7 linked regions of the Oryctolagus cuniculus genome follow. The protein of the gene in region 5 interacts with the protein of the main gene of each other region in a biochemical or structural test. Links are inferred from orthologs where the notes say so. Each region holds a gene or a part of one and is shown on either strand. Other genes may lie near its edges. The genes, in order: MLANA, RAP2A, PTEN, RNF11, NEDD4, NTRK1 and SGK1.

Region 1 (4,138 bases), on a different chromosome or scaffold from region 5:
GCAGTAACTGAACAGAAGGCAACTGATGAGCCCTTGGACGTTTTAAACAATTACATGAGAGATAAGTAGAATTAAATGTAAAGGGTGTGTTGGGCCACCACACAGAAGCTGAAACAGTGCACCGTACACACAGCACATCTTTGCTCTTGGGACATTTTGCCAGAAGGCATCGGCCACCCCCAACCCCACTGACCACACAGCGTATTAGAGAATCCCCTGGGGTCCTCTGAGCAGGTACTCCCAGCATGATGTCCTCCTCAGCACCTCTGATGGGTTCCACATCTTATTTGTCCCTGCTTCTCACTTCCTATAAGATTGCTCACCAACTCTTTCCAAAGGGAGAGCAGGTTTACAGCAAGTTCTGAACAGAGCACAGACAAGATGTTCCAAAAGACAGTTCCTTGCTGTCCTGTTGGGGTTCACACTCAGAGGGCGGAGAGGACATGCAGAGTGTGCCCCTGCATCCTTGGTGTTCCCGTTACAGCAATTACATCTCCTGGGATTATCCTCAGGCCTAATTTTCCCACTGGATCATGTCTTGGACCAGTATACAACACTTAGCACTTAGAAATGCTTCATCATGCAAATGCTAATTTCTAATTAACTCGTAATATCAAACTGCTTTTTTTTTTTTTTTTTTTTTTTTCAGATAGAATTACGAACACCATCTTCATCCTGGCGTCAGTCTGCAGAGGGAGTCACTCTCATCTGCCCTTCATCCTCACTGGTTCTTTGGCAACACATTTCATGGTCTGCAAATCTCCTTTAGGAGCCTGAGCAGAATAGACAGGACAAAGCTTGAGTAAAGATTCGTCTGCATACAAGACAGCTATGTTCCAGGTTAAGAACCTACAACAAAGACCCAGAAGCCAAGAATGCAGACAAAGTGGGTAAGATCCAACTTTTTACCATTCTTGTCTTCTTGCTTGTTTGGCCTCTGAGGAGCCTGAGTGAGCCCCTGGGGCCTCCTCACCTTGTTTCCAGACCTTTTGCTGTCTGTGGAGACAGAACACTAAGGAGACTTGCTAGGTAGTCACGTGCTGGGGGAAGTCAGCTGTGTCAGCAAACAGCAAACTGAGAACCCCTCTGGGTCTGGGTTGAACTTACTCTTCAACTGTGATGTAGGAGTGGCCGTGCCCCTTCTTGGGGTAACCATAGATGAAGTGAGCCTCTTTTCTTGGCATCATGAAAGGTCAGGGCACAGGACACCTATCAGAAGGGGCACATGAGCATTATTTAGTGCATCCAAAACGTTCTTGCCGGCCATGTCATAGAGTCCCACCAATAACATTCTCACCAGGGGACAACCACACTCAGGTTTCTCTACAAAAGGATTTGCACCTGCTTCATTCCTTGCTAGCACAAGCTTCAGAAACAGCTTGGGTTTCTTACCTTTCCCACTAATGAAAAACTTGAAGAAGAAACTACGAATGGAAACACAGGACTTTCAAATTGAGTTATTATTTGGGGAAAAATATCCATTTACCTTCAGTTTGACTCTATACCATAAACTTGTAGAACAACAAGTGATACACTGTTTTTTATTCATTCTCTACCTTCTCTGACCCAGGGCAGTGGTTAACAAAATAAGAGGAGTTATTTCTCTCCAAAGTTATCATCTCATATTTATCTCAGAACAAGCAGAGGCCTATGATAGCATAATCTCTGTTTCCCAGAGCACCTTATGCTTGAATCTCACCATGGGTGTGTGAGCCAGGCAGCCAAGCACAGCATCTTTCAATCCCACTTTTCAACAAAGAAACCAGCCCCGGGCAGGTGCCTCGGCTTGTCCATGAGCATTTCACCCAAAATCAGCTCCAGAAGCCTAGGACCTGCTTATGCCTAACAATTTGTTTTCCCTCCCACTTTGATCAAGTTCTGCTCTTCTATAGTTCAAGTTTCGTAGCTATGATTTTTTAATTAACTATAATACATGCAGATGAACAAAACAAAAGCTCATGAACTGCAGTGGCTATGATGAACGTGTACTCATTAAAAGCCATCCATGGAAGCCCTATCACTCTGGTGGATTTCGAAGGTCTGAGCCCCATAGAGCTACATCACCCAACTTCAATTTCAAACCCCAGGGAGGAGTAGAAGAGCAGAGTGGGGATTTCACCAGGCAACTCCTTTCCACTGGGGGTGGAGGTGGGGGCATTTTTTTTACATGCAATTTGTCCTTCCTAGTTGTAAAAAAGAAAGTTGAACTCACTGATGCTCTCAAGTAAATTCTCCAAGAGTGAGCTCTATGCCCAAAATTACAGACAAGAAACTCAGTTATGCATTAAATTGTTTTCGTCCATCTATACCTTAAGCTCAGAGCCCTGGCAGATGATACAGAGACAGCAAATGCGCCTTGTTACACTCAAAGCAAGAGCAGCAGCCACGGGAGAGTATGCCGAACTCCAGCAGGAGTCTTCTCACCAGCTGCCTGCCACCCTGAATAATTGCTATGCTTCTTGGCAGTCCCAGAGGGCCCAGAGAGGGTTAGAAGTTGGAGGATGACAAACGTCGCAGGGGAATTCTGTTGACAATTGAGTATCAGAGAGGCCATGAGGAAGTGCGGCAGGGTCCACCAGAATCCCCCACCCCTGCTCTGGATCTACAGGACTACAATTCTGGTGAGAAGGCGACGCACACCCTTACCTTCCAGGATGAGCCAGTTCTCTTCTGCCAGCCGCCCGTGTCTGTGAAGACTGCTTCTCTGCCTCTTAATCTTCTTCACTTTTTCGTGGTCTCAAGTCCCGTGATAGTCATGGGTTTGGATTCCCGACAGAGTTGACTGTGATTGCTTAATTGGCATGAAAGAAACCGAATTAATTCCTCCCTTGGGGGGCAGGGGGGTGGGGAACAGCTCACTGTGGCTTCTGTTTACCATAATCCCAGAGCTTTATCCTAGGGAAGTCATTTATTTTAAATGCCGGTCGCTCCTGCACAGAGCTGCTGTATTAAATACAGAATGGCCAGCTAAATTTGAATTTCAGATAAACAATGAATGCATTTTTAGTATAACTATGTCCCGTGCAATATTTTTGTGCTAAAAATGCATGAGACACCCTTACATTAACATATTTATATATATTTGTTTCATTTGTCTGAAACCCAGAGTTAGCTGGGTGCTCAACATTCTTCCTCATCTTCTCCTCAAGGAGTAGAAGAACCCTGGGGCTCAGATACAGAGATTGCCTAGTCCTGCATTCTCATGACCACAAAGAGGCAACGGAAGATTCCTAAAACCTCGTAAACTTAGCTCCCTGAGTTCTTTGTGTTACCCACTAGGGACCGTGAGTTTTCACGCATTTGCAAGGGGCCAGTGAAATTTCCTTCTTGAAGGTTGAGTACAACCTACTTACAGTCTAACTGAAACCAGGGCTGGCTTTACTTAGCATTGTAAGCTACCCTGGGCATCAAAGGTGTACAGCCCAGAGGCACTGCAGTGAGGCACAGTGGTCACCCTTGCTTCACAGCTCACCCTAACCATTGTGGGCAAGCAAAGTAAAGCAAAAATCCACCAGAATTCAGGAGTATAAGTGAGAGTCCTCAACAACTGAGGACTTAGACTAAATGACCACAAAGATCTCCTTCCCCATAACATCCAAGGGCTCCATTCCTTTCAGATCCTGACTTTGATCAACCAACAGAAGTCATCAGTGGAAACAGGAGAAACAAAACAGAGAAAGAGGAGTTGGGTCTTATCAGGTGAAACTGAGAGAGTCTTCATGAAAAGGAGGGAAAATGTAAACTGAGATCTGAATGACAAGGAGTTGGCTATGAGGAGGTAGAGGAAGAACATTTCAAATATGGAAACAACCAGCGCAAGGCCTTGAGGCCAAACAATAGAGCGTGACGTGGTCAGGGTCCCCAGAACTGAGGATGGCCCAGAGATTCTGTGCAAAGGCTGGGAAGGACACAAGGCCCTGGTGTCATATCACATCCAGTGCAACTCCATCCCGAACATCAGGATTATGCCGGGTAACTCCCTGAAAGCCCTAGTGGTGAGTGCTGGTGTCCGCCGAAGGCTGTGGTTCCAAGTTGAGAAGCCCACAGTTTGCACTAAGCTGCCTTCTATACCTACCATGGCTCTGGACGATGTGAGCAAGACCACAGAGAGGGTGAGTGGAGCTGGCCTGCACCTCAG
Region 2 (4,264 bases), on a different chromosome or scaffold from region 5:
CTAGCTGCCAGACAGTGGGCCAAGGGGTGGGAACAATGACTCCTATTGCAACTGCTTCATTTAAAATCTGGTCTTCAAAAGAGTAGAAAATTCACTTATTTGAAAATCATGTTCTATTCTTTCTAAGTGGGAAGGGTTCAATAACACCTGCTTTAATATATATTCATTGTAATCCATATAGCAAACACAGGTCCTTTCTTCCTTCTGTTTGTAAATAATATGCTACAGACGGGGAAGCCAGATAAGAGGACACAGAAGAAAGGCCCAAGTGGCTCTCATGGATATGATAGCTGAATTCCAGGGAGAACTTTACGAAAAGCTCCTGCTGATCAATGGTCTTTTTACATCAAGAACTGACACTAGTGAGAAAAATGCTAACCAACTATGCAGATAGATGTCTCCCTTTCCCCCTTGAGTCACAGTGTAACAGGTTAAGTTCTTCCTGTAGACCAAGCCTAGGTTAACCCATTATTAAAACTGAGAAAAGCCGGCACCACGGCTCAATAGGCTAATGCTCCGCCTTGCGGCGCCGGCACACGGGGTTCTTGTCCCGATCGGGGTGCCAGATTCTGTCCCAATTGCCCCTCTTCCAGGCCAGCTCTCTGCTGTGGCCAGGGAGTGCAGTGGAGGATGGCCCAAGTGCTTGGGCCTTGCACCCCATGGGAGACCAGGATAAGCACCTGGCTCCTGCCTTTGGATCAGCGCGGTGCGCCGGCCACAGTGCGCCAGCTGTGGCGGCCGTTGGAGGGTGAACCAATGGCAAAGGAAGACCTTTCTCTCTGTCTCTCTCTCTCACTGTCCACTCTGCCTGTCCAAAAAAAAAAAAAAAAAAAAAAAAACTGAGAAAAGTAACCTGCACTAAATAAACTCCAAAATGATGTGCAGCCTACCATCCAATGACAGTTTGCCATGTTCCTTCCCCCAAGGTTGTGTCAAGAAGATAGTCTGGGTACGTGACTTTAGCAGTGTATGGATGCATACTCAGTGTAGATATTCAAATGTGAAGGGTGGGGCTGGTGAAGCACTTACTTAATTATTATTTCATCTAAGTATTTGGCCTAAAATTGACCTGTGACAATGTATGAGACTACTTTACTATAGTTTTCTGTTTAATTGAGTAGTACTGGGGAGAAGTCATGTTAAAGGATTTGAACCACTTAAAAAGTAGCTCCTTAAATATCGGATACACACTTAGTTTGAAACCAAAATAGTTTCTCTCTTAATCCCAGATATATAACTTTGAAACAATGAGACTGGAGAAGCAAAAAGCTGTCAGATTTACAGACCTGGGAACAGCAGTAAAGACTAAAAAATACACACTTTATTCTACTTTGGAACTTAATGCAAGAAAGAACATAAAATTAGTTATTAAAGTTAATTATGTAAAGAGACAAGGGGAAGTGAGTCTTCCCTGTGATCTCCTAAGTTGTGTTAAAAATCCACCACTTGTAATGAATTTTTGAACATCCTCTGAGTACACAGGACTTCTTTAGTAGACTCAAACTGACTTACAACTCATCGCGTCTGCATCACTCTTAGAACCACCTTTCAGCAAATGTCTTTCAATGTTGGTTCACAGGGAGAATAAGGCAGCAACAAAAGAAAATGACACGAAAATGGCCAGCAAGCATTAACTAATAAGGAACAGACACAGGGGTAATGTGTAATTAAATAGCAATTAGAAAACTTTGCCAAAACTTTGAACTAAGATATTACGTTCCTGACACTGAAATTACAGGGAAAATATAGTCAATTCTAGGAGAAAAAAAAATTTTTTTGAACCATTTAAGCTGTCGTTCCTGTTTCAAAAATGCATGCTTCAGGACCAAGCTGCTCTGGGGCAGTTTATTTGCATTACCTTTAAATTAGCTAATACCTGGCTGTCTGCAGACCTGGCCGCCTCCGCCGCCCCGTTTCTGAGCGGGTACAGCAGGCCGATTTTTAAAAACTTAACCCGCGTTCCCAAACCTGAGTGGCGCCGGGGTCCCGCTCCGGGCCAGGGCTCCCGCAACCCCACCGGGCCGTCGCGCGCGCCCCGTCCTCCAAGTTTCCCACCGACCCCGAGTAGAGCGCGGCGGACAGGGGCCTCCCGCCTCCGACCTGACAGCCCCGCAGCCCGCGCGGGAGCGTGCCCCGCTGTCAGGCGCCGCCGTCCCCCCGCACGACTTCCAACTTTGTTGGCTGCGGGGTTCCCACCCGCGCCGTGGGAGACAAAGCGCGGCGCCGGGGGCGGCCGGACGCCGGGTCTCCGGGGTGGAACAAAGCCCTCGCGCGCGGGGTCAGGAGGAGGAGGAGGAGGAGGAGGGCGCGGAGCGGGGCGCGCGCCCCCCGCGGGCCCGCTCACCGCTTCACTCGGATGATCTGGTCGCGCATGGGCTTGATGTCCTGGAAGCTCTGCTGGTTGACCAGGCTGTAGACCAGGATGAAGCCCTGGCCGTTCTTGATGTACAGGTCCCGCATGGACGCGAACTGCTCGGTGCCCGCCGTGTCCAGGATCTCCAGCACCGACGGCGACGAGTCCACCTCGATCTCCTTGCGGTAGAAGTCCTCGATGGTGGGGTCGTATTTCTCGATGAAGGTGCCCGTCACGAACTGCACGGTCAGGGCGGACTTGCCCACCCCGCCCGAGCCCAGCACCACCACTTTGTACTCGCGCATCGTCCCCCCGCCGCCGCCGCCGCCCGCGACATAGACCTACGCCCGCCGCGCTGCGCCCCCGGACCCGGCCGCCGCCTCCCGCGGCCGCCCGCACCTCACGGCCGCGGCGGCGGCTGAGGCGGCAGCGGCCCTGGGCATGGGCCGAGCCGGGCGACGGCAGGCGCTGAGGCGAGCAGGGAGCCGGAGCCGGAGCCGGAGCCGCCCGAGCCGCGGGCCCGCAGTGCCGCCCGCCCCGCCCCTCGCGCCTCCACGCCCAGCTCCCCGCCCGCCGCCGCCGCCGCCGCCGCCGCTTCCCCGCGCGGGAGCGCGCCCGAGTCCCCGCCGCGGCCCTGCCGGGGGCGGAGCCTGGAAGCTCGGGGCGGGGCCCGCGGCGCAGCCCCGCCCCTGCAGCCGTCGCCTAGGCGACCGGCCGCGCGCGCTCCCGAGAGGCTCTGCGCCACGCCAGAACGTCGGCCCGCGCTGAGATAAACCAGCCCCGGGGGCTCTCGCCGCCGGGCTCTGCCCCGCAGCAGGGCTGGGGGCCGCGACCGTGCCGCTCCGGCTTGATGCGGGCGCCGAGTCGCCTCGAAGCGCCCACGGTCAGGCTTCGTGTAGCGAGAGGCGGAGACGCGCGGGGTCCAAGAGGCGCGAGGGCCTTTGCCTGACACTGCGCTGTCTGTGCGCTTTGTGGAAGGGGACGAGCGCCTCCAGGCCTCTGCCTGAGGTGGTGTGGCGCCTCCAGGCCTCTGCCTGAGGTGGTGTGAACACGATGACACGAGGCCTGTCGGGAACGGGCTCGCGGCCACGCCCCGTGATTGCGCCGGAGCCCCGCCCTCCCGGTGCCCGACTGTGGTCCAGCTCTTCCCACGCCCTGTCACCCACGGGCACAGGGAAAACGTGGAGAGCGGAGTCTCCGCCAGCCTGCGGAAGGGCAGGGGACACCTCATAGCAACAGCCCGCAGGGGACGTCTAGTAGGAAGCCGGGATTCATGGTAGCCAATCAGATCGCGTCTCTGGACCGCATGGTAGCCTTGACTGCCAATAGGGAGCAGCCTCATGCCACGTGATGCCCTCCGCTTCAGCCAATCAGGAAAACGTGTATTCGCAGGCTCCGCCTCCCCACCACCCAGGGCTTATGCGCACGACCTGCTGACCAATGGTAGGTGAGCTGGGCAATGACGGAGGCATGGGTAAGCCAATCGGAGCTCGCGATTCGCGGGCCTCGGAGGGCTGGGGTGTGGAGACCGGGCTGGGGCTGGTGGGGTTCGGGAGGGGCAGGGATGGCGGGGCCGGTGGCTGTGCCCTGCTCTGGCAGGGGAGCGAGTGCATTGTAGGCGGGAGCGACGAGTCCCGGGGTCGGCGTGGAGCAGTGCTGTGGGACGCGGGCTGCAGAGGGAAAGCCGGGACTTCGGCGGTCAGGGCGGGAGACGTCGCCGGCCCTGAGGAGGCGACTGCGGTGCCGCAGTAGCGCCGTCGTCCCCGCGCGCCCCCTTTTACTGCTGTTCTAAAACGCGGCCGTAGGTCTTAGTCACACACACGCCCTCCCACGCGTGCCGTCAAGTTCAGGACAGAGCTTGCCTTCCCGACATTGCTGGGTTTTTGTATTTTATTTTATTATTATTATTAT
Region 3 (3,500 bases), on a different chromosome or scaffold from region 5:
TTTTGTGTAGAGACACAGACTCCTTTTCTCCATTTTGGTTTATATTTCTTGGAAATGGGTTATTGTATGTTTAGTTCCCCAAGATTTAGTTTTTTGATTAGAGAGAAATAAGTATGAATAGGAAGTAATAAGGAGTGAAAAAATGGAGTTTATTTTAATATGCATTTAGAAAGAGCAGTTTGTACTTTATATTCTTTAGAAAAGTTCAAGAGCTCATTGTAAAATAGACTATCTTGTTTAAAATATTAAGTGTGAACATTTAAAGCAGATCTAAGGGGGCCAGCACCATGGCATAGCGGGTAAAACCGCCCCCTGCAGTGTTGGCATCTCATATGGGCTCTGGTTCAAGTCCTGGCTTCTCCACTTCCGATTCACCTCTCTGCCATGGCCTGGGAAAGCAGTGGAAGATGGCCCAAGTCCTTGGACTCCTGCACCTGCGAAGAAGACCCAGAGGAAGCTCCTGGCTCCTGACTTTGGATCTGTGCAGTTGTGGCCATATGGGACTGAACTGGTGGATAGAAGACCTTTCACTCTGCAACTCTGCCTTTCAAATAAATAAATAAATAAAATAATTTTTTTTTTTTTGACAGGCAGAGTTAGACAGTGAGAGAGAAAGGTCTTCCTTCCGTTGGTTCACCCCCAAGTGGCTGCTACGGCAGGCACGTTGCACCGATCCAAAGCCAGAACACAGGTGCTCCCTCCTGGTCTCCCATACGGGTGCGGGGCCCAAGCACTTGGGCCATCCTCCACTGCCCTCCCGGGCTACAGCAGAGAGCTGTCCTGGAAGAGGAGCAACCAGGACAAAAAAAGATTTATTTACTTTATTTGAAAGGAAGAGGCAGAGAGAGAGATAGGTCTTCCATCACTCCCCAAATGGCTGCAATGGCTGACGCTGGGCCCATCCAAAGCCAGGACCCTGGAGCTTCCTCCTCCAATGTGGGTACAGGGGCCCAAGGACTTGGGCCATCTTCCACTGCTTTCCCAGGCCATAGCAAAGAGCTGGATTGGAAGTGGAGCAGCTGGGACTTGAACCAGCGCCCATACGGGATGCCAGCACTGCAGGTGGTGGCTTTACTTGCTACACCACAGTGCCTGTCCCTTCATATTATTTCCAAGAAGTGATTTTTTTTAGAATAGTCATTTTAGAAGAAAAAGTGATCAAAAGATTCCCTCACCCCGGCGTCTTTTATTCTGAAGGTTTTCAGGCATACATTGTCATGTAAGAAACTGAAGTTACTGTGTTTGTATTACTGTGAAATAAATCTGCTGTTTAATCAGACAATTGCACTTAATTTCCAGGAACTTCTGTTAAAATAAATCTTGGATTAGATAGCTGATTAAATCATAAAGAAAATTAAATCATACCTGATTTTTGTTTATGCCTACACGTAACTGTACACATTTCTAAAGCTAGTATTAGAGTAGATAGAAGTTATTTTACATAAGACTTTAAGGTCGTTCTTAGCTATTATCTACAGTTTGAGTAAAAGAAACACAAATGAATCAATGTAACAGGTACCTGCAGGTTGGCGTATAGTAGTAGTGTTTTTGTTTACCTTTATGAAGAATATCAAACGATGCATAATTTTGTTGACTTCTTGGGGCAGATATTGAATATAGGTGACATGTTTTTCTCCAACAAAAATTTAAAATTAGACATTTCTTTCCTTTTTTTTAGGACAAAATGTTTCACTTTTGGGTAAATACGTTCTTTATACCAGGACCAGAGGAAACCTCAGAAAAAGTAGAAAATGGAAGTCTTTGTGATCAAGAAATTGATAGTATTTGCAGTATAGAACGTGCAGATAACGACAAAGAATATCTAGTACTTACTTTAACAAAAAATGATCTTGATAAAGCAAATAAAGACAAGGCAAACCGATACTTTTCTCCAAATTTTAAGGTCAGTTAATAACCCTTTGTGGAGTCAGTGGTTACATGCATACGTGCCTGTTTTATTCCAGGTGTGCAGATGAAGAACTTGGCTGACTGATTTTCAAATTAAATGATGTATTGTTTAGAAGCAATGTTTATGAAACAATAACCTGAATGTTTCTAATGAAATATCAGGATACAGAAAGAGTCAAAGGAGCTGCGTGTTTCCTTCTCCTGTTGTTTGATGAAATCTGGGACAGAGGTGTGAGAGGGGAGTTAAGTGAATGGGTTATGAAGTAGAAATGGGGGAATTTGTTCACTGCTGCTCACAAATAGGCTTGCTTCTTTCACTCTTTTTTACACTTTTAAAAGACGTACTAGGTACTTGCATAATTTAGTGTGGTTCTGCCTCCTTTGTTACCTCTATCCATATTCTTTTATGCTCTCTGGGATTTAGTCATAGTGGTGTGGCTTCAGTTCTTGCAAATACTGTTTCTGCCTCTGGTCTTACCAGTTCTTTTCCTTCTTCCTGTACCTTTCCACCCTAGTCTTTTCCCTTACCTTCATATAGGCCTTCTCTCATTGTCCTCCCCTGCTACTTCTTTCTCAGATTCCTCTCTGGTTCCTCATATTATGTGTTAGAATTAATTGATTTGTTTCATTTTTGTCTGTATGTGATGTATGTGTGTCTTTGAGTGTGTGTACTTCTATTTATAGGTGTGAATTCTTCAGATTAAAAAATCTGACTTGTAAACATTCCCAAATAATAGTTCACCATTTTTTTCTTTCCTTTGGCTATTTTTATTTTATTTATTTATTTTTTTTTTACAGGCAGAGTGGACAGTGAGAGAGAGAGAGAGAGGGAAAGGTCTTCCTTTTGCCGTTGGTTCACCCTCCAATGGCCGCCGCGGCCAGCGCACCGCGCTGCCGATGGCAGGAGCCAGGTACTTATCCTGGTCTCCCATGGAGTGCAGGGCCCAAGTACTTGGGCCATCCTCCACTGTACTCCCGGGCCACAGCAGAGAGCTGGCCTGGAAGAGGGGCAACCGGGATAGAATCCGGCATCCCGACCGGGACTAGAACCCGGTGTGCTGGCGCCGCAAGGCGGAGGTTTAGCCTAGTGAGCTGCGGTGTCGGCCCCCATTAACTTTTAAAATGTCTTTTTTGCTTTGGTTTTGTAGTTTTCTGTTTTAATACCTCAAGAGGTTTTATATTTGTGATTACAAAAACTATTTTTAGTAAACCAGTGTATTGTCATATATATCATGGTAAATGCTGTGAAAAATAGAGATGAGATAGAGAGTACTTTTATTGGTTTTATTTGTTTTGGCTAGCCTGATTAGAGAAGATCTCACCAAACTGTTGACATTTAAGTGGAAGCCCTAATTCAGATGAATGAGATATACCGGTATCAGGGAAAAGAGAGAAGAGAAGATGCAAAAACCTTGAGATAGGAGTAGCTTAGTTTATTTGAGAAATGAAAAGTCAGTGGCTAAAGGAGAGTAGACAGGAAAACCAGTCCATGTGTGAAAATATCGAAATATTTTTCAGCACAGAACTGGTGTGGTCTAAATTTTTATCTTTAAACATTGGCTCTACTCCCATAAAATATGGACAGATGAGGA
Region 4 (4,082 bases), on a different chromosome or scaffold from region 5:
ATGAGCCAATGTTACCACAGTCCTTAATTACATACTGTCTCTTGAAAAAAGTCACTTTTATCAAATGAAAATATTATAAATCATTTACCTTGGATTGATGTTTTTTGAGATCACTTAAATTAACTGTTCCAAAAAATCTTTCTTTAGGTGGACAATTTTAAGTTTTTTGTTTCCATCTTTTAAAGTAATTATTTTCTTCCAAATGATACTAAATTTACATCAGTATATGGGTCATTCACTTCAGGAAAGGGCAACCACAAAAACATCCACTGTCAAAAATAACACATTTCCAAAAAAACGCTCATGATACCAAAAAGCTCTCATTACCATCTAGTCCTTTTGGAAAGGGCAAATATACTTCCCATAAATTCTAAAGTTATTTAACACTACAATTATCATCAGGATAGGAGAAAGATAGCAACAAGTCAAAAATAATTCAGTTTGCTTGGAAAGGGATTAGGGAGCACAGCAGATTTTGAAATAAAAAATTTGCCTAAAAATTGTTCATGAAACTAAAATAAGCAGATTTGTTGCATAGTCTATATGGGGGCAGGGGACAAAGAATGAAATATAAACTGTTTACTTGCTTCAAAGATACTTGGACCAACATTCAGATTCAGCTTGGATTTAAAGAGACTACCACCCCTGTGACAATTTACACACCCTAAGAGATACCAAGTGTGTAAATGGATATAACAGCAAACTGGAATCGCATAGTCCCTACCTTCATGCAATGTAAATTTAGGGAGGAGGGAACACCTCAGGGTGAGATATACATCCACCTACACAAAGATGTCACACTAAAGTGTTTATAGCTCTTGGTTCATTCCCTTGGATGCAGATGAGGGATGGGGAGGAAAGAGAGGAACTGCACAACTTCAGATCTGACAGCTGAGTCCTTAAAGTGGATTAGATGTCCACCTGGCCGACCTTGGGGGAAGGGCTCCAAGAAGAGAGCAACTGGAGCAAAGGCAGAGGTGTGAACAGCCAGTATTTGACAGTCTGGAATACAGAATGTAAGAGGTGTCATGAGGTTTTCTGTATGCCACAAGGAAGACTGGACTTTGCCACAAGGAAGACTGGACTTCGTTAGTATCCATGAAAGGCCCCCACAGGGTTTTAGTCAGAAAATTAGCATATGTATGTGATCAGGTTTTTCTGGTGTGATGAGACACTGGTTTACACAGGTAAGACAAAAGAAAACACTAGATAATGATGTCATCACATGAAACAACAAAGGCGACTGCCCAATTAGAAAGCTAAACTCCCTTCAGGAAAAAACATTAAGGACTACCATTCAAACCTTTCTGGAAAAAAAAGTTTTTACTCAGTATCATTTAAACCTAGGAAAACAGAGGAAAAGTTTTTGTATGTATTATGAATTATAACATGTGTGTATCTATTGAGTTTTCCAGAGCTCCTAACCTTCTCACTAATTCTGTAACACAACTGAGACTAATGGTTGTACAAAAAGCAATGAAGCCTATTTAGGAGTCTTTGATATAAGGAGGACCATATGTAACGCAAGGCAATTCCCAAGTCAGGTTTCAAGGTTTTCAAAGTTCAAGATAATCAAGTTTTATTAAGTCAGCACATTTAAAAGGTATGTCATAAGGGTGGAGCAAAGGCGGAGGGGGTAAAAATGTGTGTGTGTATAAACAAATTTATAATAGTCGCTGGGGCTAAAACTGCCACTTGGAGAGCCGGCTCTTAAGAAATGAACACCTACCAGATCCAATTAACAAAGACGGGGGGGGGGGGGGATCACATGAAAATATAAATGGAGTGGGTGGGGGCAGCCACTTCTCCCCGACCCATAATCCAGCTGGCGGTGCGATGAGAAAAATCATACGATGTAGGCATAAAGGCAGGAAAATAATGTCACTCCCAAACTTCACAAGCGAACCACCAGACACTGGCCAAGGGGCTACGATCCCATACCCCTCATCCCACAACTCAAGGGCAGGGAGTACCCTGCACGGCGCGCCCGAGGGAAGGGGAAGGAGCACCTCTATTCTCGGACTGGGAGAAGCCCTCAGCCAGCCCTACGGGGGTCAACGCCCCCTGGGCAGGCCTCCGCGGGGCCGGGGGCAGAGACGGCGGAGAAGCCCCTCCATCTCTGCCCGAGCTGCAAGTACTCGCACCCCTCCTCCCCAACACACACCCTCCCCTACCTGATATGGCGGCGGCGGCTCCTGATCCGGCTCCGTCCCCTCGCCAAAGCTAGCGCGGTCGGACTGAGACTCGTGAAGCAGAGAGATGTCATCCGAGGTGGGGGACTTGAGGCAGTTCCCCATCTTCCGGGGCGGGTGTGTGCGAGCTGGGGTAGGAAGAAAGCAGTGGCGGGGTCGTTCGCACGCTCCGCGGTCAGCCTCGGTCGGCGAGGTGGGGTCGAGCGACGGGCCGGAGCTCAGGCGGCGGCGGCTCCCCCGCCCCCCGGCGCCGCCGAGGGGCAGCTCATGCCAGCCCCCGGGGGTGGGGGCTCAGGGCTGGGCCGCGGGCTCGGCTGGGGTCGAGACGGTTGCCTCCGGCGAAGCCGCGACGCGGGGGGGGCGGGGAGACGAAGCACTTCCCCACCCCGCCCCCCCGCGGGGCGGCGGCGGCCACGGGGCTGCTGGGCTTAATCCAGGTCAGGAGCGGGGGGCGCGGCCGTCGCGGCTGCCTCAGCTGCTGCCTCAGCTGCTGCTGCTGCCCCCGCCGGCAACCGCGCCGCGGCCGCGGGCCTCATCCTAGTCCGCCTCAGCGCGGCGGCGGCGGCCAGAACGAGGCCGGCTGGGGCCCTGCGTCATCCCGCCGTGCGTGCCCTGGGCCCGCCCCCGGCGCCAGGAGGCGAAGGCGGCTCTCGCGGCGCGGCTGGCCCCGCCCTCCTCTAGCAGCTGTTCCTGGGGCTGCGTCAGTTTCTGCTTCTGTCCCTGACAGTTTGGCTCCTCGCCCGGCTCGCTCGGAAGCCTCTGGTTTCCCGCGCTTCCCTGCGGACACGGCTCCCGCGCCGTCGACGTCGCAGCTCTTACCTGTACACTCTTCTGACAGTGTTCTCACCACCCTCTGCTAAGGGATCTATTTATATACCCATATCTGAGTGGATGGATCATCGTACCGTTGTTAAAATGTTAAAGGGCTTCCCACTTTTCCCTTCGGAATAAAGTCCAATCTCAGTAATGAACCCTCCCGATCTCAATCACTTTCCTGTCCTGCATCACAGCCAGGGAGCTCCTTCTCCCATTTCTTTTCCCAGAGTGTTCCATTTCCTTACATTCCCAACCACCATGGTCATCTCTTGCCCAGGCTCCTGCAATAGACTCAGCTGTTCTTGTATTCATTATTGCCCCCCCCCATCCAATCCATTATTTGCACAGTTGACAGACTTATCTTTTTTAAATGTAAATAGAGTGAAGTCGTTCTCCTGTTTAAAACCTCCAAAGGGTTCCTAATATTGTCCTTAAAGCAATCTTTAAATAAATAACTTTCAAATCCGACTGCCTCTCCAAGCATAGTCCCATCCTTCAGAAACTGTAAATTCCAAGCTTTCCAAAGTACTTTAAAAATTTTATCTATTTGAAAGGCATAGTTAGAGAGAGAGAGAGAGAGGCAGAGAGAGAGAGAGAGAGATCTTCCATCTGCTGATTCACTCCCCAGATGGCCACAACAGCCTGGGCTGGGCCAGGCCAAAGCCAGGAGCCAGGAGCTTTTTCCAGGTCTCCCACGTGGGTACAGGGACCCAAGGACTTGGGGGCATCTTCTGCTGCCTGCCCAGGAGCGTTAGCAGGGAGCTGGATCACAGCAACCCAGACTCTAAGCGGCACCCATATGGGATGCCGACACTGAAGGCAGAGGCTTAACCTTCTACATCATGGCGCTGGTCCCCACAAGTACTTCTGGATACCTCAGGGACTGTTGCCTCTAGCTGGGGGTTTTGCCCATATTGTTTCTCTGGCAAAAACCTACTTCTCCCCGCTTCTGACCTTCTGCCTCTCACCGGGCTAATCATTATTCCCACTTGACTCCCAGGACTCAACTCCATTTCCCCTGGAAAGCCTCTCCTGAGTCCACTCTGGGTTTCACCTCCTCTCGGCTTTTAGACC
Region 5 (3,500 bases):
TTGCCAAGGACAAAGCATTAATTTTTAAAAATATTCATCACTGAGATCATTGTCTAGGAAAATAATGATGATAAAGATTCAAATTACAAAAGCATCCAATGGAGTGGGTCATTTACTGTGTCCTTTTAGTCCCTACTGGACCTGTTTTATGCAATAATCAGTGACAATTCATGTGCATGACAGACCCACAGGAAAAGGTAGACACTTAGCATCAATGCCAAAAACTAACTCCAGTCGGCCACTCCCTAAGGATTCAATCAACCATGGATTCAATACATTAAAAAAAAAACCTGATCAGTACTGAACATGTACGGACATTCCTCCTTTGCCCTTAATTGTCCCTTAACAATATATTATGACAATTATTTGCCTAGCATTTACACTGCACTAGGTATTATAAACAATCTAGAGATGATTTAGAGGATGTGCGTAGGTTACATCCAAATGTGCCAGTTATTAAAAGGCATTTGAACATTCATGGATTTCAGTATCCACAGGGCTCCCGGAATCAATCCTTTATCCCTGCCAAGGGTTGATTGCAATTAGAAGGTGCTAGAAGTATCCAGTGTGCACTTCAAATTCTATCAAAAACAAGTTCACAGACTGCAGGCACCTGTACAGTAGGCTTTGTCCAGGTTGTTGTCCTGGAATTGTGATCTACGTAGTATGATCGTCCTCTTTCGTCTTGTTTTTCTTCCCAACCTGGCGGTAGTCCAGATGAAGTAGGCAAAAGCTTAAGTGAAGAATAAAGAACAATGAAATATTCACAAAAATCCTTGAAAGAGTACCACATTCCTTCAGTGCTAGCTCTTTTAGAATGAAGCACATTTTATTTTCCATTACTACAATGGAAAATGCACAAATTATATATGTTTAATTTAGTAAAATAAAACATATTCTAAATCATCTTAGCATGTACAACATAAAGTGTATGCATTTCACTTGGGAAGAAAATAGCATAGATAATAACAGCACTAATAACTAATCTAATAACATCACTAATAAAGCATATGACTAATAAATAATAACATCACTAACAAAGCAGTAACCACCACATCCTAAATGCTTTAACATACCTCATGACATTCAAGCCCAACACAAAACTTCATGATAATTGCTAAAACTGGCCCATTCTGCTGAGGAGTACACTGAAGCTTAAAAAACGGACACAAGTTGCTAACGTATATTGCATATAATCAATGGAATAAATACGTCCATGCCAAGTCAAAAGCTACCCTTGTCTTGTTTCTATAAGGGTAAGGAAATGCTATGTGTTACAAAGGAGTAAAGAAAAGTATCATTATTTCCAGGTTTACTTAAAATAGTCCCAGGTTTGGCCTTCTTTTTGGTACTGATTTTTAAATATTTTTATTTATTTGAAAGAGGAAGGGAGGGGGGGACAGAGTAAGGGGTGTGTGGGGGGGTATTCTTCCCTTTGGGTTCACTCTCCAAGTATCTACAACAACAGGGGCTGGGCCAGGCTAAAGCCAGGAGCAAGGAACTTCACTTGGGTCTTCCGTGTGGGTGGCAGGGACTCAAGTACTTGAGCCTTCCAGAGCTTACATCTGTAGGAACCTGGAATCAACAACAGGGCTGGCATTCCAACCAAGCACTGCACGATGGGATGCAGGTGTCCAAAGTGGCATCCTAACCACTGCGCTGAATGCCCGCCCTCTTTTTGTCAGTTGGCTTGTCTCCCCTAAAGTGCCTGACACCGTGAAGACCACCACCGCCAGGCTCTTCGCTGGGGCCACTGCTTATGAGGCACACGGCAGCTGTCAGCACCTCACTGACAAACATGATGGAGTGTTAGATGGCACACCATGGAATTCCATGTTGCCCAGGTTCCCACACTTCTTTTAGCAGGCGACTAAATGGGATGCAGTAATATGGGAGGGGGGCTACCAGGGACTACCAAGACGTGCAATAACGTGGATGGATCTGAAAAACATCACGCTGCGTGAGGGGCCAGGCACCCGGGACAGCAGGCTCTGACTCCCTCTGTATGAAACGTCAACTACAGCTGCAGAGAACAGACGCGAGGGGTCTCTTGGGACTGAGAGAAGATGCAGGTACTGAAGCAAGGATGCGGGGTGAGGGGACAGCTTTTAAATTTCACATGTAGTGATGTATGTGTGACAGGATCAAGTTCCAAAACTCAAGAAATCTGTAAAACCAACCAGTGTAGTATGAGAAGGCGGCACGGGAATAGCTTTTACCATACATAAGAAATAAATTTGCCCTAACCGCTGCTGCTCACATGGTATACTTAAAAACTATTTCAAGGGGGCCAGTGTTGTGGCACAGTGAGTTAGCTGCCACCTGCAACACTGGCATCCCCCAAGGGAGCATGGATTCAAGTCCTGGCTATCCTCCCTCTGATCCAGCTTCCTGCTAACATGCCTGGGAAGGCAGCAGATGATGGCCCCAGTGCTTTGGCCCTGGCAACCCATGTGGGAGACCTGGATGGAGTTCCTGGCTCCTCCTGGCTTGCAGCCTGGCCTGACTCTGGTTGTTGTTGCCATTTGGGGAGTGAACCAGTGGATCGAAGATCTCCCTAACTCTCCCTCTGTCTCTACTGCTCTGTCTTTGAAACAAACAAAATACGAATCTCAAAAATGACCCCATTTCTTGGATGAGTGCCGGCCAATCAATGGGAAATGCAACATTTGTGCCGTATGGAGCACATTACAGGTGCAGTGGGAGAAACACCACAATCTCTGCCTGAGCAGCCTCTGGGCTAAGGGAGGAGGCCAGCCCAGTGACACTAAGTCACAGTAAGCTGCCGAGGGCGGTCTCCGGGAGGCACTGGCCCTCTTGGTGGTGGGCAGTGCTGACTGGGCCAGGACTGCACAGGCAGGAACATCCTCCTTCCTCAGCCTAGGACGTGGGTCCCTCTCTTACGGCATGGCTCTCATTTGGGGACAGGTGAGTGACTGAGTCCTTTGGAGACTTTGAGGTTCTATGTGGGAACTTTGACAAAAGCAGAAACAGAGCCCAATTTTCAAAATTACCAATGACTGGTGAAAAAAAGCAAGGAGGCTATTTGAAGGTGAGAGGCGCCAGTGTGCACTGATTGGAGGGAGGAGAGAATCCGTCCGTGGAAACAGCCTGTTGGTGAGAGGCTCAGATGGGACGAAGGCAGCAGGACGTTTCTGTGGGGAGTTAAGGAAGCAGGGCTGCTCTGGGAGACAGCGTCTGGGAGATGCTTCAAATGCTCAGGTCCCTGTCACCCAGGTGGAGACCCAGATGGAGTTTCATGCTCCTGGCTTCAGCCTGGCTCACTCCTGGCTGTTTTGGGCACTTGGGGAGTGAACCAGCAGATGGAAGCTCACTCCTCTCTTTCTCTCTCTGTAACTCTTTCAACTAAATAAACTAAAAAATTTAAAAAAAAAATTTTAACGAAAGAAGGGTGAGTTGAAAAGCCTGGAAGTTTTAATTTGATTTAAGAAAAAATAGGGATGATGTAAGTGAGAGGTAAACTCAGAGAAATGAGATGT
Region 6 (4,180 bases), on a different chromosome or scaffold from region 5:
GTGCTCAACAATGGGGGTCATGCTGAAACACCTGCTTCCACAAGGGGCTGGGCTCAGCCCTGCCACTGCCCCACCCAGCACGGAGAGACCCTGTGTCCCTGCAAGCATGTGCCCCAATCACGCCTGCCCAGGGCCCACTCATACCACTACACACACACACACACACACACACACACACACACGTACACACTCCACCTTCTCCACCCCCTCAAAGCCTCTGGCCCCTTCCCACACTCAAGCATCAACCCCTTCCTCCCTCCACCCCTGCCCATTGGGCAGAGCAAGCAAGAAGCATAGAAGCTGTCAGGCATGGACCCCCGGACCCCTCCCTGCCCCAGGAGGGGCCCAGGCAGGAGGAGAAAGGGAATGAGAGAATGGAGTGGGAGTGAACTGGCTGGCTCACATGGCGAGAGAGGGATGGGAAGGGACGGCAGAAAAACAAAGAGAGCAAGACAGAAACAGAGAGAGTGAGAAAGAGAAGCTGATAGGGGGAGACTGGCAGAGAGAGAGAGGAGAAGGATAAGGAAAGGGAGACAGAGACAGAGAGATAAGGACAAAGAGGCAGAGAAGGCCAGATAGGAAGACAGCAAAGAAAGCAGAGCAAGCAGGCACCTGGGCTGGGGGCTGGCGGGAGCCCTGGGCTAGCTTCTGCACCCAGTGTGCCAGGGAGGTCCTGGGCACTCGGCTGTTCTGCAAGTTGCACGTCAGTGTGGCCCTCACATGGGCACCCGGGGCCCTGACTCACCGCCGCTTCTCAGAATGCTCCCACTCTACCTCTTACTTTTCCTAAGTAAGGACCAAATAAAGGAACCAAGACTAGCTTCTTCCTCCTCCCAGCCCCCCTTCCCAGCCTTGATCCCAAGAGGCCAGGCAAGAATCAGGTCCTCCGTGCCCTGAGGCTCAGGGAGCAACCTCTAGAGACCCGGAAGGAGGGCAGCTCCTGGTCCTCTCCACCCTACAGCACCTGACCGTAGGGTTTCAGGCTGCTGGGGCCCGGGGAGCTGGGAAGCAGCGGTGGCGGGCTGGGTGTGTGCAGGCTGTCAGGCAGCTTGCGCAAGGCTGCCTCAAGGCTGCCCCATTCGTTTGGATTCGTAATCAATCTGTCTATTGGAGTCCATTATCTCCTCGTTAGCTCTGAGGGTGAGGGAGGAGGGAGGGGGCTGCTGGTCCACCCAGGGGGACATCTCAGCTCACCCCCTGCATACCTCCTAGCCCCCGACCCTGGACTGTCCACCCTTCCCCCAGGCGTTTATTCTTCTTGGGGCTTGGAAGGGCACTGGGAGATGAGAGCAGTGACAGGGAACCGGGGTCCCACTGGGACGCCTGGGGCGATGACTGGACAGGCTTCAGGTCCCCTCCCAGCATGCAGAGACCTAGGCCCAGACCGAGACAAGGCCATCTCCTCTGCTCCTAGCCTCCCCAGGGCCATTAGAGAGAGCTATTGAGTACCTTCCCGTTAATTACCACGAGATGCCCGAGCAAGTCCGTGCCAATTATTACAGGCTGCTCAAGTAACTTCCAGACAGTGGTGGTAGACCCCGCCTCGGACACCTTCCAGCCCCTCCCTGCACAAGGCCAGGGTCCCTTGTCCACCTTCTCAGCCCCAGGCCACAGGAGCAGGATTTTTCTAGCAGCTCGTCCCTGCTGCCAGGAGTCCTGCTGGCAATGCTTGAGTATTTTCCAGCCACTGTTCTGTGATGCTTCAGTACCTCGGGGCCAGTTATTACAGCATACTCCCATAGGTTTCCCCAGCCGCTAGAAAGTAGCAGAGTATTTGGTGGCAAATGGCTGCAGGATATCAGAGTAGTGCAAAACGCTGCAGATGCCCCTGGGCTGCGGGCAGCAAGGGGAGCGGGTAGAGGGGGCTGGGCAGGGGGCTCTCAGCAAAGGCCTGACTGTGCCCCAAGTCGAGACAAGGATGGAAAGGGAGATGGTTGGAGGGGGGCGGCTGGAGAAGCCAGGAGGGGGTCCCATTCCCCACATCCAACCCAAGGCATCCTGGATTCAAGGGATGGTGGAAACCGGGAGAGGAGCCACTAGGTTCCGCCAATCCCAGCTCAATTCCCAGTCCCAGGGCAAGGGCCTGGAGAGCCCGGTCATGACAAGGGCGTGGGGGCTAGCATGCCCCCTAGAAAAAGGAAAAGATGGTAGGGGTGCCAAACTGAGAGGGTCTCCGCGACCAATCCCCCGCCTCCAATGGAGCAGAGCTCGGGCTCCTGGCTGAGCTCCAGAAAGTGCCTTAAGATAGCCGGGCTCTCTCAGACCTGGTCCACGGAAAATGCGCTCGCTCTCCCCGAACCTGGCGCCACAGCTGGCCTGAGCCCTAGGCGGCAGCCAGGTAGTGACGGCGGGGCTAGCAGGGGCGGCTGCGGCGAAGGACCGCCGAGACCCCGCCAAAAGACACGCAGGGCCAGCCTCCCGCCGCGCCTGACCCAGCAGGCAGGCGGTGAGTCCGCGCCCTCGGGGCTCGGTGACGCCCGCCCGTCCCCGCGCTCCCCCTCGCCCGCCGGACACTCACAGCTCTGTCAGGTTCTCGATGCCCGGCAGGTGGCGGAGCCTGTCCAGGGCTCCAGGACGGGTGCAGAGCAGCCCCGAGGGGCCGCGGGGGCAACAGACATCGGGGCAGAGCGCGGCACCCGCGGATGCCAGCATTAGCCACGCCAGCAAGGTGCCCGGCCCCGTCGCCTGGCTGTGCCAGCCAAGCTGCCAGCGCCGTCCGCCTCGCAGCATCGCGGCGGCGCTCGCCTTACCCCGGCCCGGCCGCCGTCTGTGAGCTCCCAGCTGCGGCTGCCGGGCCTCCCCGCACATGTGCGCGGGGCGGTGTTAAAGACCCAGCCGCCAGGAAAGGGCGGAGCCAGCGGCCCCCGCCCGGCCCCGCCCCGCCCCTTCTCTCCAACTCCCGCACCTCCGCCGCCTCGGCTTTCGGGAGCCCGCAGCGCCAGCCTTGTAGCTCAAGATTCCCCCAGGTCTGGGAGGGGCGGAGGGGCCGCCGCGGAAGGTCTCTGGCTGGCCGTGGGGGCACGGGGAAGTTGATACATTATTTTTCCCAGCCTCAAGCAGCTGCCTTTTGACATTTTGGGGGGAGGGGAGATGACTGAGCCGTCCAGGTCCGCGTAGACAGCCCCCAGCCTCGCGGTGTGCTCGTCTGTGGGAGTGACGTCATTTGGGGTAATTTGGGTGAAACGCTCTGAACCCTAGGAAGAAAAGGAAGAGGAGCCCCCAAAAAAGGACCAATTGCAAAACAGAAGGGACAGAGAAAGGGAAGGGGTCAGGGAGCCGAGGCCCTGCCGTCCAGCAAAGGCCACAGGGTGGCGCTAGAAGCCTGCGCGCTAAGGTGCAAGCCTGGGACCCAGGTTGGGTGGTTGGATGCGGGGGTGCGGTCTGCAGCCCTTTCTGCGCCATGCCACGGGTCCCAGCGTCAGCCCTCGGTGCCCGGCCGGGCAGGACCAGGCCGAGCAGAGCTGGCATCGATCGCCGCCTTGACAAGAGCATCGATTTCTGCGCCGAGAAATTAATAGGTCTTCTCTTAGCCCTTCGGCCGCGGGAGCCGCCCGAGGGTGGAGCTGGGGACCGGCCGGCCCTCGGAGGCCGCGCACCTGGAAAGTACCGGGATTCCCAGCACGCAGGGCTTCCTGCGGGCCTTGGTGGCCACAAGGGCCCGATCTCTCTGCCGAGGGGAGGGGCAAACAAGGGCCCCAGGGCGCGAGCTCAGGCAGCACCCCTGGTCTCCCGATTCCCCGGGGCTGGGGCACACAGGAACGTCTGAGCAGTCCGGGTCACCAGGAAGGTGACCAGACAGGCAGATCCCCGCGGGGTGATCGCGTTCCTCAAGGGGATCCTGGCCAGGACTGGGGTACGTGGCGAAAACCAAGGCTCGCGCCAAGGGACCCAGAAAGAATGGCCAGGGGGGCCTCCTGGCCGAGAAAGGCTCCAAGACACTGCCCACGTTCTGGCCAGGTTTCTAGGAGCTCGCTGCGCTAGCCAAGGCTGCCAGAAGTTAGCTCGCAGGTGTCAGAGCCCGAGTGGCCGCATCCAGAGCCGCCGCATCTCCGCGGAAGAGGCGAGCGGCGGGCGCGGGGTGGCGATGGCAGAGGCCCCACCACGGCCGCAGCGGGGTTGGGGAGCTCCGTTCTTTGCCTCTCTTCCCCTCCCCCCGCCGCGTTCTGGCCTTATTTCCCCA
Region 7 (4,138 bases), on a different chromosome or scaffold from region 5:
TTCCTTCAGATTACTGCCCGACAAAACCGCTATCCTTTCTGAGGCTAACCGGCCACCTCTGGGTGCCTCTATTTAGGAAGCTACTGGGTAGCTAACAGTTATCATCCTTGGGGGTTTAGAAACCCTTTTATGATGTGGCTCCTACAGATAGGTCATTTCAATGACAGCAACAGGATGTCTTAGAATTTCTCACGCTGCATGCACCAAGCCATGAATGTAATTTGCTCTCACTGAGCTGTACTAAGCACATTTCTGAAGAGTTCAGGAAGTTAGAAGCACTGTGGCACTAGTCTCTCCTGGACGGACTGAGCAAGCGAGCGCCTACCTCGGGTGTGCCGCAGAAGGTGGACGTCGTGCCGTTGTGTTCAATGTTCTCCTTGCACAGCCCAAAGTCAGTCAGGACGATGTGTCCCTGTGAATCTAGTAGAATATTCTCCGGCTTCAAGTCTCTGTAAAAAATGAACAGAGGAGTAGTTGCTGATGTTAATTTCAGTTCATAACAAGTCCTCTGTGAAGCTAACTGCTAAGGGCATTAGGTATTTTAAATTCACTGCAGTTGTGCAGTGAATAAAAAAAGGGAGTCCTTGTTCTGCTGATCTAGTCTGGATTAGGGACAATCCCAGTTGGCCAGTTCCCTAGTGGCATGGAGTCAAGGCAGCTCACGTGCTGGGGGATCTGGTTTTAGGGGACCAGGTGCACGCACACACACTCTCTCACACAATCTTAAGGCTCCCTCAAGCAGGAGGGCTACCAGGGCTCTTTGGCTCACCTATAAACGATGTTCAGAGAGTGCAGGTAACCCAAGGCACTGGCTATCTCAGCAGCATAGAAACGAGCCCGTGGTTCCAGGAAGCAGCGCTCCCTCTGGAGATGGTAGAACAACTGCAGGAGACAGGACAAAGTTAGTCTGGGCTGCCAAAACACTTCACTAGTGACATATATAGCTAACGAAAACAATCGCAGGAAGTAGCCCTAGGTAATCTATTAACTATTTGAAGCCCGGCAACTTTTACCCCCTAAAGACCTTCGAAAACTTCCTTTTTAGACTAAAAAACCAAGCAGGCTGTGCAGAGACCGGCCCCTGCTCCCCACTCGCTCACCTCTCCACCGTTAATGTAGTCTAGGACAAAGTACAGCTTGTCGGCCGTCTGGAAGGAGAAGTGCAGGCCCACCAGGAAAGGGTGTTTCACGTTCTTCAGCAGCACGTTCCGCTCAGACATAATATGCTTCTCCTAGGAGGATGACAACCCAGACTGAGCGACAAACTTCAACTTGGCACCCACTCCCAAGGCAAAGCTGATTCAGTGAGCGTCCACTCACAGCTCCAACCCACCAGCCCCTTCTCCTACCTCCTTCTTTTTCAGGATTGCTTTTTTCTGCAACACCTTGACTGCATAGAAGGCTTCCTCTGCTTTGTGTCTCGCTAGTAGAACCTGAAATTGCAATAAGAAAAAAAAAAATCATCCTTTTTGGGTCCTCATCCAGGGAGAGTGTAAAATGAACACATACGAGAGTATATACAAAGGTCTCCGGATCTGAAATTACCTTTCCAAAACTGCCCTTTCCAATCACTTTTAGGAAGTGAAAGTCTGATGGTTTAGCATGAGGGTTTGATGATGGGCCAAGGTTGATTTGTTGAGATGGACTTGGCTGAAAAATAAAACATTCTCCTTTAGTGTCACCGCTTTCAAAGGCAGACGTCCACAATAAAGCATAAAAGCTGGATGCAAGTCCCATACGTCTATCAACGCACTCAAAACTATTTTTCAACCACACCATGTCATTATTTCAAGTGAGTATGGAGATTAAACGGATAAAACTTTTATGAAATATGCCTTCAGACAATACTCCACTGACTCAATACTTAACTAGTTATGTCACCTGTTATGTCCTTAACTAATGAGACATTCCTGCCTTCATACTAATTTCCAGAAATGCTATTTTAATCCATCAATGTAGGGATACTAGGTGACTCACTTAACAATTCTCCCCCATAGATGCTTCACAAACGGAACGATACTCACCGGAGGCGAAGGGTTGGCGTTCATAAGCTCGGGCTCCTGAGGTTGGGAGATTTTCAAAATGGACTGAACTTCAGTGCTGCAGAGGAAAAAAAAACACACACACGTTGGAGCCTCCTCGCGCCCCACTAGGGGGCACAGCAACACCACCAGTTGAGTTTCTGGCTCGAAGTTTCCCCGGAGAATCCAGGACTTCAACTGCAAACACCCAAAATCATCTACTGGGCCCTTTGAAGCCAACAGTGAGCCCAGCTGTGTACAGAAATTGAGGTGGTTTTTCACGCGGAGGGCGGGCGACAAGGAGGCAAGCCCGTCTCCGTGTTAAAAACGTCTCAAGTAAACCAGGATTTGAGGAGAAATGAGATCTCCACCCCGACGTAACCCAGCGAGGGGAGACGACTCTGCTACCCTGCCGGCGCTACTGACTTTAATTCCCGCAATCCCACCCGAACTTACTGCTTGCACGCATAGGAATTATTAGCGATCTTCTGAATAAAGTCGTTCAGGCCCATCCTCCTCTGCTTCATGAACGCTGTGAATGAAAGAGGAGAAATAAACGAATGCTCAGATGGCTTCGTAACGTCCGCCGCCACACACACTCCGTGATCCGCGACCTTCCGAAAACTCGCACCGCGCGGCGGCCTGACTCCTGCACTCACCGATGAGGATGGCCACCATGCCCCTCATCCTGGAGTAAGTGAGGGGGCCCCTAGCAGCCTCGGTTTTCACGGTCATCGCCACGGTGAGACCACAGCGAGTCGTTGGGAATGAGAGACCGGCTCAGCCAACTCTGCGCTCGGGCCGCGCGCCCGGCTTTATAAAGGCTGCGCCGGCAGGGGAGGGGCCCGACCGGCGACAAAGGAGCGGCGCGGCCCCGCCCCCCAGCGCAGGCCCCGCCCCCGGCCGCCGCGCCGCGTCCCGGCGGGACGGCAGCCCGCGGCGGGCGGTTCTGTCCCCAGCCTGAGGGCGAGCCGCGGGCGGAGGTGGGGGACTCGGGAGCCGCCCGGGGAGGGCAGTTTCGCCAGTGTTCGGCGCCCCGGGGCGCGGGCGGAGGTGGCGGGAAAGGATGCGGAGTAATTTTCCATTTTTCTCATTTATTCCGTTCGGCGAGGAAGTCAGGGTAGCAGCGCCGAGCTGCCTTCCGGACGCAGCCCGGCGGGCCGGCGGCCCTGCGCGAGCCCACACCCTCCCCCGCAGTTGCACTCTCTCGGCGATAGATAGCCCGGGACCCCCGCCCCGGCGCCCCCCGGTTTCCTCCCCGCCGAGGCCGGGCGGAGCGTGCGACCGCCCGGGAGTTCTCTCAGGCGCAGGCGTCTCAGCGCGCCCTCATCTGCAGGGTCAGCGCGGGGCCGGAGCTCCCGGGCCGGTCCTCCCCGCTCCCGCCGCCCGGTCACGCCGCTCTCCGTCCACCCCCCACCCCTTCTCCCGAGCCCGAGAACCGGGCCGGAGCCATGCGCCCGCGCGCACCGGAGGAGCCAAGTCCCCGCGGGGGCCGAGGCGCGCTTACCCAGTCCGCTCAGCAGGAAAGACTCGCTCCTTTTCTGCGCCTCGGCCCTCTTTTTGTGGCGGGGCCGGAGCAAGGACTCGAGCCGGGCCCTGGCGAGCGCTCCCTGCATCTCCCCCATGGGCAGCGGGCGGCGGGCGAGAGCGACCGGAGAGCACTGACGTTTCCTTGAAGGAGCCGCCGTGACTCAGGCCGGGCAAGATTTCCTGCCCGGGTCCCAAAACAAACAAATGGCCCTTGTGCACGGCCGAGCCGCTTCCGAAAACGCCTTTTTTGTGCTTTTGGCCAAAACCAAGCAAGGCTGGAAAAAAAAAAATCCCAGAACTTGGAAGAGGAGGAAGGAAGGAAAGAAGGAGGGAAAAGGGGGGGGAGGGGAGTCAGGAATGTGTAGGGGAGGGGGCGGAAGCAAAATTCGGCTCTGCATTGAAGACAAAGTGCAATCTGCAGCCCCCCCCCACCCCTTTTGTAATTTCTAGAGAACATTCTGTCCGTTTTGCGTGCACTTTTTTTCCCCCTTGCATTTTAATCCGCGCCACGCCGAGAACACGTGAGGAGGCCGGTGAGGGCGGCGGCGGCGGCGGCGCGGACCTGGCGTGACCCGGGCGGCAGAGGG

The links.
Region 1: the proteins of NEDD4 (region 5) and MLANA form a complex in vitro, tested with the Homo sapiens proteins (2 studies listed by BioGRID and IntAct, with this or other methods). The link is inferred for Oryctolagus cuniculus from reciprocal best matches to the Homo sapiens genes NEDD4 and MLANA.
Region 2: the proteins of NEDD4 (region 5) and RAP2A form a complex in vitro, tested with the Homo sapiens proteins (2 studies listed by BioGRID). The link is inferred for Oryctolagus cuniculus from reciprocal best matches to the Homo sapiens genes NEDD4 and RAP2A.
Region 3: of the proteins of NEDD4 (region 5) and PTEN, one has a biochemical effect on the other in vitro, tested with the Homo sapiens proteins (7 studies listed by BioGRID, with this or other methods). The link is inferred for Oryctolagus cuniculus from reciprocal best matches to the Homo sapiens genes NEDD4 and PTEN.
Region 4: the proteins of NEDD4 (region 5) and RNF11 form a complex in vitro, tested with the Homo sapiens proteins (3 studies listed by BioGRID and IntAct, with this or other methods). The link is inferred for Oryctolagus cuniculus from reciprocal best matches to the Homo sapiens genes NEDD4 and RNF11.
Region 6: of the proteins of NEDD4 (region 5) and NTRK1, one has a biochemical effect on the other in vitro, tested with the Homo sapiens proteins (3 studies listed by BioGRID, with this or other methods). The link is inferred for Oryctolagus cuniculus from reciprocal best matches to the Homo sapiens genes NEDD4 and NTRK1.
Region 7: the proteins of NEDD4 (region 5) and SGK1 form a complex in vitro, tested with the Homo sapiens proteins (3 studies listed by BioGRID, with this or other methods). The link is inferred for Oryctolagus cuniculus from reciprocal best matches to the Homo sapiens genes NEDD4 and SGK1.

The regions. Positions count from the first base shown.
Region 1 is NC_091432.1:168,567,970-168,572,107, reverse strand, and holds the start of MLANA (melanoma antigen recognized by T-cells 1), read right to left. Parts: upstream 2,801-4,138; 5' UTR 2,647-2,800; intron 1,210-2,646; 5' UTR 1,188-1,209; coding exon 1,108-1,187; intron 1-1,107. UniProt on the Homo sapiens protein: Involved in melanosome biogenesis by ensuring the stability of GPR143. Plays a vital role in the expression, stability, trafficking, and processing of melanocyte protein PMEL, which is critical to the formation of stage II melanosomes.
Region 2 is NC_091440.1:15,033,298-15,037,561, forward strand, and holds the start of RAP2A (ras-related protein Rap-2a), read right to left. Parts: upstream 2,801-4,264; 5' UTR 2,659-2,800; coding exon 2,345-2,658; intron 1-2,344. UniProt on the Homo sapiens protein: Small GTP-binding protein which cycles between a GDP-bound inactive and a GTP-bound active form. In its active form interacts with and regulates several effectors including MAP4K4, MINK1 and TNIK.
Region 3 is NC_091446.1:42,726,683-42,730,182, reverse strand, and holds part of PTEN (phosphatidylinositol 3,4,5-trisphosphate 3-phosphatase and dual-specificity protein phosphatase PTEN), read left to right. Parts: intron 1-1,678; coding exon 1,679-1,903; intron 1,904-3,500. UniProt on the Homo sapiens protein: Dual-specificity protein phosphatase, dephosphorylating tyrosine-, serine- and threonine-phosphorylated proteins.
Region 4 is NC_091438.1:121,712,806-121,716,887, forward strand, and holds the start of RNF11 (RING finger protein 11), read right to left. Parts: upstream 2,801-4,082; 5' UTR 2,298-2,800; coding exon 2,175-2,297; intron 1-2,174. UniProt on the Homo sapiens protein: Essential component of a ubiquitin-editing protein complex, comprising also TNFAIP3, ITCH and TAX1BP1, that ensures the transient nature of inflammatory signaling pathways. Promotes the association of TNFAIP3 to RIPK1 after TNF stimulation.
Region 5 is NC_091443.1:78,551,332-78,554,831, forward strand, and holds part of NEDD4 (E3 ubiquitin-protein ligase NEDD4), read right to left. Parts: intron 734-3,500; coding exon 614-733; intron 1-613. UniProt on the Homo sapiens protein: E3 ubiquitin-protein ligase which accepts ubiquitin from an E2 ubiquitin-conjugating enzyme in the form of a thioester and then directly transfers the ubiquitin to targeted substrates. Specifically ubiquitinates 'Lys-63' in target proteins.
Region 6 is NC_091438.1:41,947,953-41,952,132, forward strand, and holds the start of NTRK1 (high affinity nerve growth factor receptor), read right to left. Parts: upstream 2,801-4,180; 5' UTR 2,731-2,800; coding exon 2,519-2,730; intron 1-2,518. UniProt on the Homo sapiens protein: Receptor tyrosine kinase involved in the development and the maturation of the central and peripheral nervous systems through regulation of proliferation, differentiation and survival of sympathetic and nervous neurons.
Region 7 is NC_091436.1:34,692,342-34,696,479, reverse strand, and holds the start of SGK1 (serine/threonine-protein kinase Sgk1), read right to left. Parts: upstream 2,801-4,138; 5' UTR 2,757-2,800; coding exon 2,681-2,756; intron 2,554-2,680; coding exon 2,478-2,553; intron 2,101-2,477; coding exon 2,025-2,100; intron 1,651-2,024; coding exon 1,546-1,650; intron 1,434-1,545; coding exon 1,350-1,433; intron 1,233-1,349; coding exon 1,101-1,232; intron 883-1,100; coding exon 770-882; intron 450-769; coding exon 326-449; intron 1-325. UniProt on the Homo sapiens protein: Serine/threonine-protein kinase which is involved in the regulation of a wide variety of ion channels, membrane transporters, cellular enzymes, transcription factors, neuronal excitability, cell growth, proliferation, survival, migration and apoptosis.